2 linked regions of the Tribolium castaneum genome follow. The protein of the gene in region 1 purifies or fractionates together with the protein of each later gene. This does not show direct contact. Links are inferred from orthologs where the notes say so. Each region holds a gene or a part of one and is shown in the gene's direction. Other genes may lie near its edges. The genes, in order: NELF-B and negative elongation factor A.

What was found.
Region 2: the proteins of NELF-B (region 1) and negative elongation factor A purify together in Homo sapiens (affinity purification with mass spectrometry; 8 studies listed by BioGRID and IntAct, counting the BioPlex papers as one, with this or other methods). This does not show direct contact. The link is inferred for Tribolium castaneum from reciprocal best matches to the Homo sapiens genes NELFB and NELFA.

The regions. Positions count from the first base shown.
Region 1 is NC_087394.1:30,667,654-30,673,901, reverse strand, and holds NELF-B (negative elongation factor B), read left to right. Parts: upstream 1-1,972; 5' UTR 1,973-2,142; coding exon 2,143-2,259; intron 2,260-2,315; coding exon 2,316-2,414; intron 2,415-3,795; coding exon 3,796-4,587; intron 4,588-4,601; exon of another isoform or gene 4,602-4,641; coding exon 4,642-5,049; exon of another isoform or gene 5,050-5,101; coding exon 5,102-5,449; 3' UTR 5,450-5,517; downstream 5,518-6,248. Other genes in the region: uncharacterized protein dikar, read right to left, coding at 294-555, 603-1,232, 1,291-1,379, 1,450-1,477; pn (exopolyphosphatase PRUNE1), read right to left, coding at 5,523-6,076, 6,123-6,248. UniProt on the Homo sapiens protein: Essential component of the NELF complex, a complex that negatively regulates the elongation of transcription by RNA polymerase II.
Region 2 is NC_087395.1:19,626,240-19,632,487, forward strand, and holds negative elongation factor A, read left to right. Parts: upstream 1-1,810; 5' UTR 1,811-1,854; coding exon 1,855-2,064; intron 2,065-2,196; coding exon 2,197-2,451; intron 2,452-2,502; coding exon 2,503-2,680; intron 2,681-2,730; coding exon 2,731-3,075; intron 3,076-3,123; coding exon 3,124-3,443; intron 3,444-3,505; coding exon 3,506-3,832; 3' UTR 3,833-4,040; downstream 4,041-6,248. Other genes in the region: intermembrane lipid transfer protein VPS13B, read left to right, coding at 938-1,124, 1,176-1,744. UniProt on the Homo sapiens protein: Essential component of the NELF complex, a complex that negatively regulates the elongation of transcription by RNA polymerase II.

The DNA.
Region 1 (6,248 bases):
TCTCCTGTTTTAACTAATCATGGGATCATATAGTGTTATTTATAAATACGAATAGTAGTAAGAAATTCATAAATCGGACCATTTTTATTCGAAAAGGTAGATTTTTAAATAAAAGAATATTAGATACATCAATCAATTGTTTAATTAATATTCTTGCGTTTTTTTAAGTTTCAAGGTAAGTTTGTTTTCTTGGTAATTCATTATTTTTAGCTTATAAATAAAGTTTTAATAAAAAAGTCTTAGCTATAGCACCTTGTACATCTCAAGGTTACAATTGATAATTTCGTATTTACCTTTACTGTTAGAGGAACTTGTTGACAATTTTCTTTGTCTTCCTTTGGACTTCTTTTGTCGCGTTTTAGTCCCGCCCATCTCATACCGTACTTCAGAGTCCTCACTTTGGCTATCTTCGCTCTGCTCTTTAAGTCTGTTACTTCTCTCATAAGCTTCTTTTCTCTTGATTTCCAAATCGCGCTTTCTTTGTCTTTCTTCCTCTTCAAGAGGATTGGTTTTCGGCGATTCACACGTTACTTCTTCTTTTTCAGTTGTATTTTCCTGTAATAATCTCTTGTAAAAAAATTAAATAATTAACTTCTTACTACTTTTCTCAAACGTCGAGAAGTGCGTCTCGGTTGATTTTCCAGCAGACGCTTCCTGGCCAGTCTTTCCTTTTCCCGGAACAATCTGGGCAATTCAGGCAAGAAGTTCTCACTTAAAGTACGATGTAACTCTCTTTCACACTTAGCAGTCGATTTTTTAAATTTCTTGTTAAGTTGAAACCAATCGTCTTCAGTGAAACAAATAACCTGCCACACGGATTTCTTCTTATTATTCTTGGTTTTAAAGTCCTCTCTGTACAGTCTAGTACCGTAAAAATACCAGTAAGCAGATTCGTTACTGTCATAACCCAGGGGCTCAACCCTCAAGCTGTCTGCTTCTAAATTTTTCAGCTGGTCAAGCACATCATCAGCATCTAAACGAAAATCACAGAGTGCATGTAAAATGTCCACTTTTGTTCTCAAAGGTAACAATTGGAAATCAACGTCTGTGTTAAATGGGTTGTATTGATCATGTTCCTGACATTTCTGGCGAAAGAGACGTCTCAGGAACATCTGATAATTGAACGTTGAGATTTCATTGTTCGGCAAGCACCCACTGAGAAGCCTCACGATCAGTTCTTGAAGCCAAGAGGTTTCCTCCGTCCCATCAGTCAAGAGAGCCTCCTCCAAATCCTAGATCAAAGCAAAACGAATCAAAACCCGAACGCAGGAATTGTTTGCGTGGTTTTACCTCGATATCAAAATCCAAAAGGTTAAATGCTGTTCGAAACAATGAACAAAAATGTGCAATGCTTGGAACCTCCCACCATGATTGAATATCTGAAACAACGGCCAGAATTAGGGAAAACAGCACTTGAGAAGCCAAATCGGCGAATTTCCGTAAACACACCTAGGATGCTAATGAAAGTTGGAAACATAACCTATACGGTGATCAATACATGTAACGTTGTTAATTCACATTAATCTCGACGAAACTCCCCAAAAAGCCATGAATTAACGAATTTACGACTCGAACGGCGGATAACCAGCCACATTTAGCGCACTATAGGCCTTTGGGTGTCAAAAAGAATGCCATTTCTTCAACAAGCTTTGATAGGCTTCCCCCAAATCTGCGTACTAGTGCAACCTAGCGTCTATTTCTACGTCACTTAACGTCGTCACACTCGGCGTAATTTACCGCAAAATCACCGTAATTCCGCCAATTGCCCGATATTACACAATGTAAACATGCTCCTAACGCATCGCCGAAAATTCCTGACAACTGTCAGAGTCACTTTGAAAATTCGCCTTTTGAAAAACCGGAAGTTATTAGAATAGTGCTGCTTTTACCGCTTCTTATTGTATTTGACGTCGACCAATCACAGCGCAGCATTTTAAATAGGTGAAAGACCTTTGTTTTGTTTGACGCTTTTGACAGCAAATGGTGTGTTTTTTGACAATATATTTTCATAATGGGTTATGAAAGCTGTGTGTTTATATTTATTGAGATGTGTAATTGTAATCTCTGTGATACTAACACCGAATTTAAGTGATAAACTGCGTCGATTTGATGTTTTACTAGTGTAAGGATTCGTACTGCAAAATGTCTTCATCCAGAAACGATTTCCCTTTGGAAGCCCTCAATATACACGGGCCCACCTTCCTCAAACATGCCTTAACTAGTTGCACTGATCCGCTCAAAGCCATTGAAGAGTTTCAGGTACTTTTTGTCATGATTTTATCCATAGATTTGTAAATAAATTCGCTTTCTTATAGGTTACAAACGGGATACTTTTACCCTCATTACGCCCAATGCTTCCATTACTTGATCTACACGGGGTGAGAAGACTGGATTTTCACATGTCAGTTGTAGAGGTAAAGTATTCTCATTAAATATTAATCCCCTCATTAGTGGCAATGTCTGATGGGTTGGACTTTAAAGTTCACTAGAACTGGCATCAATATATTTGATTTTAAACAAACCATACACAGTAATAATGTTCAATAAGTTTCGTCAGTGAAGGGGAAGGCGTATACCTACCCAAAAATAACAAATAAAGAAAATTAAAACTAAACTATGTTACGGTCAATGTGTAAACTTGGCTAATTTGTACACTAGCTGGTTAGTTTGCAAACTAATAGAAAACCCAGTTTCAACTAAAATAGCTAGATAGTTTATAAACTATCCGATTTTTCTTAGTCATTTTTCTATTGTCTATGTATTTATTTTTTTAATAAAAACCACAGATTCAGTTGTTACGCCTGGCTCATATTTTTTAAGAAATCTTTACAAAACAGGGATTTTTCGAGGGATCATTATACCCCACTCTTTCCTAGTTTTCCTTATTTTTAGCATTAAAATCTGGCTCACATTTTAAAAAGGACATAAAAAATAGGGTATTTTTCATAAAAAATCGACGTTTTAATAGCTAAAGTGGGCTTAAAAACAAGTTATTTTTCCATTTTTGTGTTAAAACGACCTCAATGGGTTGATTTTCAAACTCAACAAATTTCAACGACTAAAACCTGAAAATAATCGTCTCATTTTCCTAAAAATTGATGTTTCAGGAAAATCTGAGTTAGAAAAAAGGGTAAAAGTCAAATTCAACGTTGTTTTTAATGTTTTCATAATAATAATTATGAAATTTAAATTAAATGTTGTTTTGAATGTGATTATTACTCGAGTACATCCCGAAAATCAGATGGTATTTAATGTATCATGGTTTTACTTAATAAGAATTATAAAACTGTTTATAATTGCTTTTATGGTGCAAACTGTATGAAAATGCGCTCAGGAGTTGGTCGATAATGTGACTCATTTTTGGTTGGTGTCTTGTTTCGTTCATTACTCCATAATTTACAACTGGATTTATTGATTTTCAATTAAAATGTATTAACACCGTATTTCCTTATTCAATTGTTGTGATTTTTTTCTGATTGCAGTAATTGTACTTTTTTTAAAAACATTTTATTGTTTTTGGCTTTAAACCGCATTGTTACGAACAAAAGTTTTGTAATAAAACGCAATGTTGGTTTACATTCTATTAGATACATAAATAAACGTGTAATCTCACAAAACCAACTTTGGTAGTAAAACGTCAAAACATAAAGTGTTTTATGTGCCCTCATTCAGGTCCAGCGAGATAAGTTTGCCATTCATGTAGACATAAATTCCATTAGTAAAAAATTCCCGAATAAAGTTCCCAACTCGCTGTATTTATTTCCCTTTAATGAAAAAATTACGATGTTGGTTCAGGAACTCCGAGAGAAACTAATCGCACACATCAATGAAATCGGCAAGCAAGAAGGACGCGAAAGGGACAGGAAGCTGAAAGATTTACTCGTAAAGAGTTTCCCTGTGGTCAAAGTGAAGGCTTTAAGGCCGATAGTGATGGCGATTTTGAAAAACACACCACAGATTGACGACAACTATTTGAAAATATTAGTTAGAGATCGGGAACTGTACAACGACACTGACACAGAAGTCAAACGGCAGATCTGGAAGGACAACCAGTCGCTCTTCGGAGATGAGGTCTCGCCTCTCTTGAGTCAGTACATCAGCGAAAAAGAGAACGTGCTGTTCGATCACACCAACATCAGCACCCAGTTCTTCGGGCCTTCCCCCAAGGTGCGGCGCCAAGGGGAAGTCGTCCAGAAGTTGGCACACATGATTGGAAACAGTGTTAAATTGTACGATATGGTGCTCCAGTTTCTTCGCACTTTGTTTTTGCGGACCCGAAACGTGCATTACTGCACTTTGAGGGCCGAATTATTAATGGCCTTACACGATTTGGAAGTTCAGGATATAATTTCGATAGATCCATGCCATAAATTTACGTGGTGCCTTGATGCCTGCATTAGGGAAAAAAATGTCGACATTAAACGCTCAAGGGAGTTGCAAGGGTTTTTGGATAACGTTAAGAGGGGCCAAGAGCAGGTGCTGGGCGATTTATCAATGACTTTATGCGACCCCTACGCCATTAATTTTTTGGCCACGTCGGCCATAAAAATCCTGCATCATCTCATATACGTAGAAGGGATGCCGAGGGTAAATAATGAGAATTTTCGAAACAAAATTATAATTTTTATACGAATATTTTAGGACAATACGATTTTAATTTTGCTCTTGCGAATGTTGGCTTTGGGTCTAAGTGCCTGGGTCATGATCGACTCCCAAGACTTCAAAGAGCCCAAACTGGACAGTCAGGTCGTTACGAAATTTTTGCCGGCCCTAATGTCGCTCATGGTCGACGACCAAGTGCGGCAATTGTCAGGCAAATTGCCCCCAGATGAACGCGAAGCTGCTATCACAGTTATCGAACATTCGGGGCCCTTGCCCGATGCAGTGGAGGCCTACATTCAAGACAGTTCAGTCGCCAGTATTCTCGCCATGTACTACACCCTGAACGTGGCCCGGCTTAAAGACAGGGTGGGGCTGCTGCGAGTCTTGACGGTTTTGGCGAACTGTAAAGACGACCGGGCTTTTGAGGACCCGTTCCTCCACTCTCTCGTACGTGTACACACATTTGTGTTAATTATTTGCAAAGTTGTGGTTTCCGCAGGTCATTTTCCTTATTCATAATCCGGAGGAGTTTCAAGCTGAGGATTTTTGTACTGTTCTCTTCGACGAATTCTTTTTTGCTGGGCTGACGAGGGAGAACGTGACAAGACATTTACTGAAATTGCTGTGGTATGTACATTCCCGACTGCCGGCTAGTCGTTTACACACGCTGATGAAAGCGCTGCAACCGACGCACCAACACAGCGAAAAGGTTCACAATTTGTACGAAACGCTTCAGACTAAGATTAATTCGCAAGAGGAGACTGCTGTACCTCTTGAAATGGATATTGACCTCAACTCGCCTCTAATGAGTGTGCCAACGCCTGCTCCGTATCACCATACGTTATGAAAACAGTGGTATTTTATAATTTTGTAGAGTGTTATTTATAATTTCGTTTATTAAAGACTAACAATGCATTTTCCTATTTTTGGCATTGTACAGCTGCATCGTTTACCAGAGGCAGAATAAATTTACGTGTCAATTTAATATTGCCCTGTCCGAAACACACAATATTCTTACTTTTTACAGAAGTCTCGGTGAGTCGTAAGTCATGTTTACTGTCATTCAAAATCGAGATTAACGTTTTTTTAAACGTGGAATCGGTAGAAAAAACCGCAATGTCTCTTTTAACGTCGCCACTAGCGTCAATCCCAATTAAAACAACACTGGATGTTTTGAATTCACTCGCGAACGCTGCAATAGCGCTATCTGCATCCTCACGACTTAAATATTGCTCAACCAACATTGGTAAACCCGGGATTGGGACACCCTTAACCACTTTTAGGTCTCGGTAGAGTAAATCTTGGCTAGTCAGACTAGACGTATCGTTGTGGATTTTCCACAACACGTTGAACAATTCTTTCCTGGTTTCGGTTGGTTTAAGGATGTTTTCCAAGTAATGTGCAACTTGAAGATCATCCTCGAACGTTTTCCCACTTTCCTTATCAAGTCCGATAGTGTCGTAAATAATTGTAGCTATAAGAATTTTTTAATCAAAGATAAAACTTTCTGGAATTTTTACCATATAAAAGGTGACTCAAGTCATGAAATAAAATTGGCAACTTTGACTCAATAATTTCATTTGTGATCAAAGTGCAACAAGAACCGACTATTTTAATAACGGTCTTTTCCACGTGATCCCCCCGAC
Region 2 (6,248 bases), on another chromosome or scaffold:
AAAGTATTGTTTAGTATTTGTTTGTTTTTAAAATAATTAGACTTCTTTAACTGTGGTGGAACAAATGTGTACACTATCATTCCCTAAGTTATCTATGCGTATAAGTTAAGAACCTGTATTGAGATAAATATTATTTACAGTCTTCTAGAAGCTTAATTTTCTCGATTTTTTCGTAATATTTACTTTTTATTTTCTTATTTGTTTATTGTGAGCCTGTAACTATTTATTTCAAGAATTTTTTCGAAATGGTCAAAAAATTACGTTCTTTTAACTAATTCGTAAATAATAGTAGGTATACCAGTACGAAAAGTTGAACAGTGCTAGTCTACATACAGTGCTGGGCAAAAGTATGGATAAAACAAGCGTTTTTGCATGAATACAAAAAATAATTTGTATTATTAAGACTGTTAAAAATGTGATCATTTGTGAAGAATATTTTTTTTATAAATTCCTTTTAATTTTACCGATACCGTTTATGAGTTATGCAAAATTTAATTGTTTTAAATGGAAGTCTACTGCGACCATTTTTTGGTTAAAGATTACTAATTCAATAGTATTGTTTAAACAAGTTATTATTTTAATAAATTATTAAAGTTGCGTTCTGAGCTCATCATCAGTACATCACTCATTCATCAGTCTTTACCGAAGAGGTTGTTTTATTTATTCTCACCTTGTTGGGTGCACAAATAGTGGATATTACCATTCCATTGTAATAGACTAATGGAATACAGTTTAAAATAGATCAAAGAATGTCTTGTTACAGAAAGCTTTTTAGAAATTTTAAATTTCATTTCAAAATTTTATATTTTTTACCATTTTGCACAGGTTTTAAATAAGTAATTATGTAATTACTTAATAAGTTATCAATTCTTATTTGATGTATGTGACTAACTGATTACTGAGCTGGTTACAACCTATTACAAAAAAATTCTGTTAGGGCTTGACGGGACTCGGTATCAGTCTTTTGGGGGCTGTTGGAGGCATCGCCCACCACCCGCTTCAGAGCATAATGGCCGATGGGGCATCACCCAGGTCACTCGCAGCGGGTGTCGGATTAGGGCTAGTGGGAGTCTTAACTAAGCCTTTGAGTGGAGCTGCCGAACTGGTGGCGTTGACTGGTCAAGGTATAATAATCGTAAATTTACAAAACTGACTTAAAAAAATTAAAATTGTAGGATTATTGCAAGGGGCCGGGTGGAATCCCCTACCGCAACCTAGGAGTGACCTGGTCAAAAACCTGAATCTGTTAGATTCAAATTCAATGTTAAAATACGAATGGAAGTTACTAAGCTCGCTGACTTATAAAAATGTGCTTTTTGCGACTGAAGCAACGATGTTTAACGATTCTGAGTTCAAAGGAATTGGGTTGGTTTTGGCACCCGATGCTTTGATTATTGTGAATCTTGATGATGATAATGTGAAACGGATAATTAGTTTGGGGCAAATTCAAGTCGTTGCGAGTGATAACGACCCGACTTATCTATCCTTCAGGATTATGAAACAAAAGTGTGAGGAGGAGTGTGTGGTCGAAATGGACCCAGCGTCGAGGGCTCGAGTCGCCGATTATGTAAGAAGTACGGCAAGTTTGTTACAACTACCCGAAGTTAATCAACATTCCGTAATCATGGACGATACCAACGAACAGATTAATTGTTATGTGAATCCGCAAAATCGGAATTATTTCGTTTGCCTGCTAACACTAGCCAAACAAATGAACAGCAATTATAATTTTCCTGTGTTATAAACTGTTAATAAAAGTATGAAACTAAATGAGTGTTTAAATTTCCCGCTGTATTGTTGTAGTGCTTTGAGTGCTAGTCAGCTGGTTGTTGGCAGCACCGTTCCAAACGCAAAATGGCGAATGTGCGTGACAGCGATACGTCTTTATGGTTACACAATAAACTCGGAATTTCGAACGATTCCTGGACGGGGGGCTCAATATGCTCGCAATTGAACGCCGAAGTGTTACGCAACATCAAAGACTGTTTTCCCGATCTTCAAACCCAAGTGAAATTAAAGCTTTTGTTGAGTTTTTTTCACATCCCGCGCAGGAACCTCGAAGAAGTATGTTTACAAATAAAAGCCCCCACGGTTTCCACTTGTCGTTATTAACCCCTTGGTTGCGCCCCTTTTAACTTTGTCGTCTAATAAAGTTGTTTGAGGTTATGGCGTACTCACTTGCTACTTTGTTTTTAGTGGAAGTTAGAGCTGGAGCAAATCCTCGATGTGGCCGTCGCCGATTCGGAATTGTGGGTCGCGATGTTAGCTGAGGCTTTAAAAACGTACCCTTCAACGGGGTCCCTAAACACAGAAATTTCCGACTTGGACGAAGTGAGACCCATTTTCACCGATTTAGTTACAGATCTTCGGAAACTGGTTCGCAAACAAGCTGAGAATGTTATGCTACCCATGGAGTGCCACTATTTAAACAAATCAGCCCTTGTCTCTGTCGTAAGTCTCTGACATGTGTCACTTGTCACAATCACAACTTTTTTTTGTCAGGTTGGCCATAAACCAGAGCCTACTAAACACTTCACCATCAAAAAGAAACAAAAATCGGCAATTTTACGAGCAGATTTATTACAAAAATCTTCAGATGCGGCCTCAAATCTCAAAAAATCATCAGCTCCGGTCATTCCAGTGCGCTCGAGAGGCATGCCGCGCAAAATGACCGATACAAGTATGCATGATCGTTGTTTATTTGACAGTTGGTAGCATTATTTCTTGTAGCACCCCTGAAAGGAATCCCGAGTAGAGTCCCGACATCGGGCTTCCGCTCCGGTGCATTAAACAACAATATAAACAATCGGCCCCCATTGGCCCGCCCTCCAGCCGGACGCAAAGAAGGCGGAGTCAAACTCTTGGACATAGCCGATCAACCACTTGGCTACGCTGCGGCTAAAAAACGAAAGAAGATGCAAGAAATTGAAGACGCGAAGAAAAACACCGAAAATGCTGCCTTGCAAAGCCCCCCACCTGTTTCAGGCACGACCACCACTCCCGATTATGCAGCCGGTTTAAGCTCCACCCCAGCCTACGCGCCGCCCACGCCACAGCCCATCCTCGCACCAACCAGTAATTATTCGAATTTGAAGTTTGTTGTTCCTATTAATTTTTTTCCAGCAGCGTCTTCCATTTTAACAACTGCGGTAACAGCACCGGTAACTACGGTTACGACAGCGCAGGTGGCAACGCCGACCGTGAAACTGGCAACAGTGGCGGCGACACAGTTGCCAACTATGCGGCCTGTACCACCCCTATTGGCAACAACGCCAAGTGGGCAGAGGACGATTTTGACCGACCAATCGGTGAAGGCTGTCGGCCAAGTGTCAAATATTGCGATTGCGCAGAGGACGACTCAGGCCACGCCCACTGTGACGCATATCAGGATCCAGCCACAGACGACGTCGAATGCTTTGCAGAGGCGGGGCTTAGCATTAACGGTGGGTTTTTGATTACGAGTATATGTTAAAAAATTCTATTTTTTGTTTTTTTTTTTCACCAGAGGGAGCAAATGTTGGAAGCTCAGGATATGTTCCGAACTGCGAACAAAGTGACAAGGCCCGAGAAGGCGTTGATTTTGGGTTTTATGGCAGGGTCAAGGGATAATCCCTGTCCTCATTTGGGGAATATTGTCACTATTAAGTTGTCAGAGGATCAGGAAAATGTGTTGCAACCTGACGATACTTACCTGACTATGGTCGCAGAGACTCATTTCCAGATGAATTATAATAATGGAGAGTGGAAGAGAATCAAAAAGTACAAACATATTGATAATGTTGTTAATCAGATGCCACAAAATACACCAGCTCCTGCTGTTATTGGGAATTAAGAAAATTTTTTTGTTATTTATTTAACATAGGAATTGTTTTTTATTATGCTTCGTAAGAAAGAAATATTTATTTACGATTTTTAAAGTTTAAAAAAATCGAATGTAACGTTATGTTAGGTAAACAGTTTGATAAACTGAACGTTAAGTTTGTTGTACATATTTTGTAAATATTCTAATTTGTAAATAACTGAATAAAAAGCTACGCGCATGTTTACTTTTTTTTAATCGTTTGGAAAACGAACGAAATACAATGAAACCAACCCAAATCCCAAAATTTTGTAACATAAAAAAACTACAGGGTGATTCAAGTGTGTCGAGTCATCTCATGGATAAACGGCATCCAAAGTTCGTATGACAAAAACTTGTTTAATTTTTTTCTTTAGTAATCACACCATAGTCATCGTTTGCTATTAAATACTTTATTTTTCTCTTTATGTGATTTTTTGAAAATTTTTCTACAATTCCTTACAATTAAAATTAATTAATACTGTGTTGCTAAAAAAAAATTGGACATTCTGAAACATCCGCTTGAGTGTTTTGTGCAAGAATTGCGCAAAAGAAAAAAGCGCACAAGATAATGCTCACACAGAAAAAAGCTCACGGAAAAAACTCACATAGAAATAATCGCACTTAAAAGATACCTCATATGGAAACAACTCCAGACAGAAAAACAGTCCACACAGAATAACACCCACAAAGAAAAAAACTCACAAGAAAAAAGCTCACGCTAAAATTAACTCACTGGAAAAGAAATCTCTGTACCTAATCGTGGATAGATTTATAAATTTATAATTATTCGGATAACAATAAAAATATTTTATAATTTGAGAATCAGTTTTTGTTACTATTCAAGGAAAAAGTAAATTAACATATTCAAAAGTGTAACTATTCAATTTTTTTTTAGACAAAGAAACTTAATTTTATGTTGTAATTTTTTTGTTTTACTTATAAATTAAATTTTTTTTTAAATTGATTTCAGCTTTTCGGCGTATAGCTTAAACGGTACCTAAACCTATACTGAGTGATCTCTCCGCATTTGTCATTTTTTGCCATAATTTGTTGAAATCTTATTCACGCAAATTATAAATACCTATCAACAAATTATCCCGTAAGTTAGGGAATGATTTAGCAAAAATTTGAAGTTGAATGGGAAATAGGAAAACGCATCGTAAAGTAAAGTACATCAGAGTTTTTTCAAAAAATTGTTTTGGACCTAAATTTTAAGAACCGCTGAACCAGAATGATAAAAATTAGCTTGTTATTTCGCTAAAAAGGCCTTAAATTAAAAAAAAATTCGATAAAGGTACCTCGAGAGCGTTAAATGATAAAACGTTTACAACTGCATCACCCCGCAAATATTACAATCGACTCATTTGAAACGGTTTAGTTTTTTTTTTTTTCAAAATAACTAAGTTTTCGAGAAAATTGCTGCGATATTCGAATTGCTATACCCGGCTATAGCAAACACAAATACTTTTCTAACAATGATCATTTTAACAGAATTTAGATAATTGATGCAATCTCTATACGAAAGCGGAAACAAAAAAAAATGTTCATAACAATAACTGATAAAATTATCCCTCTTCTTTACGATTTCTGCAGGTCTTGGAGTGTTGAAAACCGCAACCTATATTATCAAAAGTGCACAAAAAGATGCCATAAAATGATTTTTTTAATCAGTTATGGAAGTGGAATAGGACAAACAAATAGTTTATTTACGAATAGGAACTAGTGGGCTTTCAAAAGAACGTGAGTTTTTATCCGTGTGGGCTTTTTTTGGTGTAGGTTTCCTTTCATGTGGGGTTTTTTCTTTGTGGGAATTATTCTGTATGAGCTTTTTTCGTGTGGGCTTTTTTCCATATGAGGTTTTTTCGACGTGGACTTTTTTCTTTGTGGGCATTTTTCTGTGTGAATTTTTTTCTTTGCGGGTTTTTATGTTTGTGGGCTTTTTTGGGAGCTTTTTTCTTGTGCGCATTTTTCGTGTGGGCTTTTTTCTGGTCAGCGGCGAAGGAGTATAGAATTGGAAAATTAGTTAATAATTATTATAATTGTTACAAATTTTGTGTGTAACGAAAAAAATTAATTTTACGATGTAATAAAACTCATCAAGTACCTACAACAACTTTATAACATTTTGTAAAATTCTTATTTGTTATTTTCACTATTTTTTTCCTTTCTCGTGTGTAAACGAGACGGTCAGTGTTTAATAATTAGTTTGTATTCATAGCAACAATCTTTATTGTTGTTTAAAATTGTTTAAATTGTCCGTTTCTATCACAACGAAAATAGCTCGGTACTTTTATTTTTGTACACAATTAAATTAAAAATAAAAATTAATTATGGAGCTCTGCTAGCTGTTAACTGTTAAAATTATCACACATATTTCTGATACACCTGTAAACTTGTAGCTCGTCCA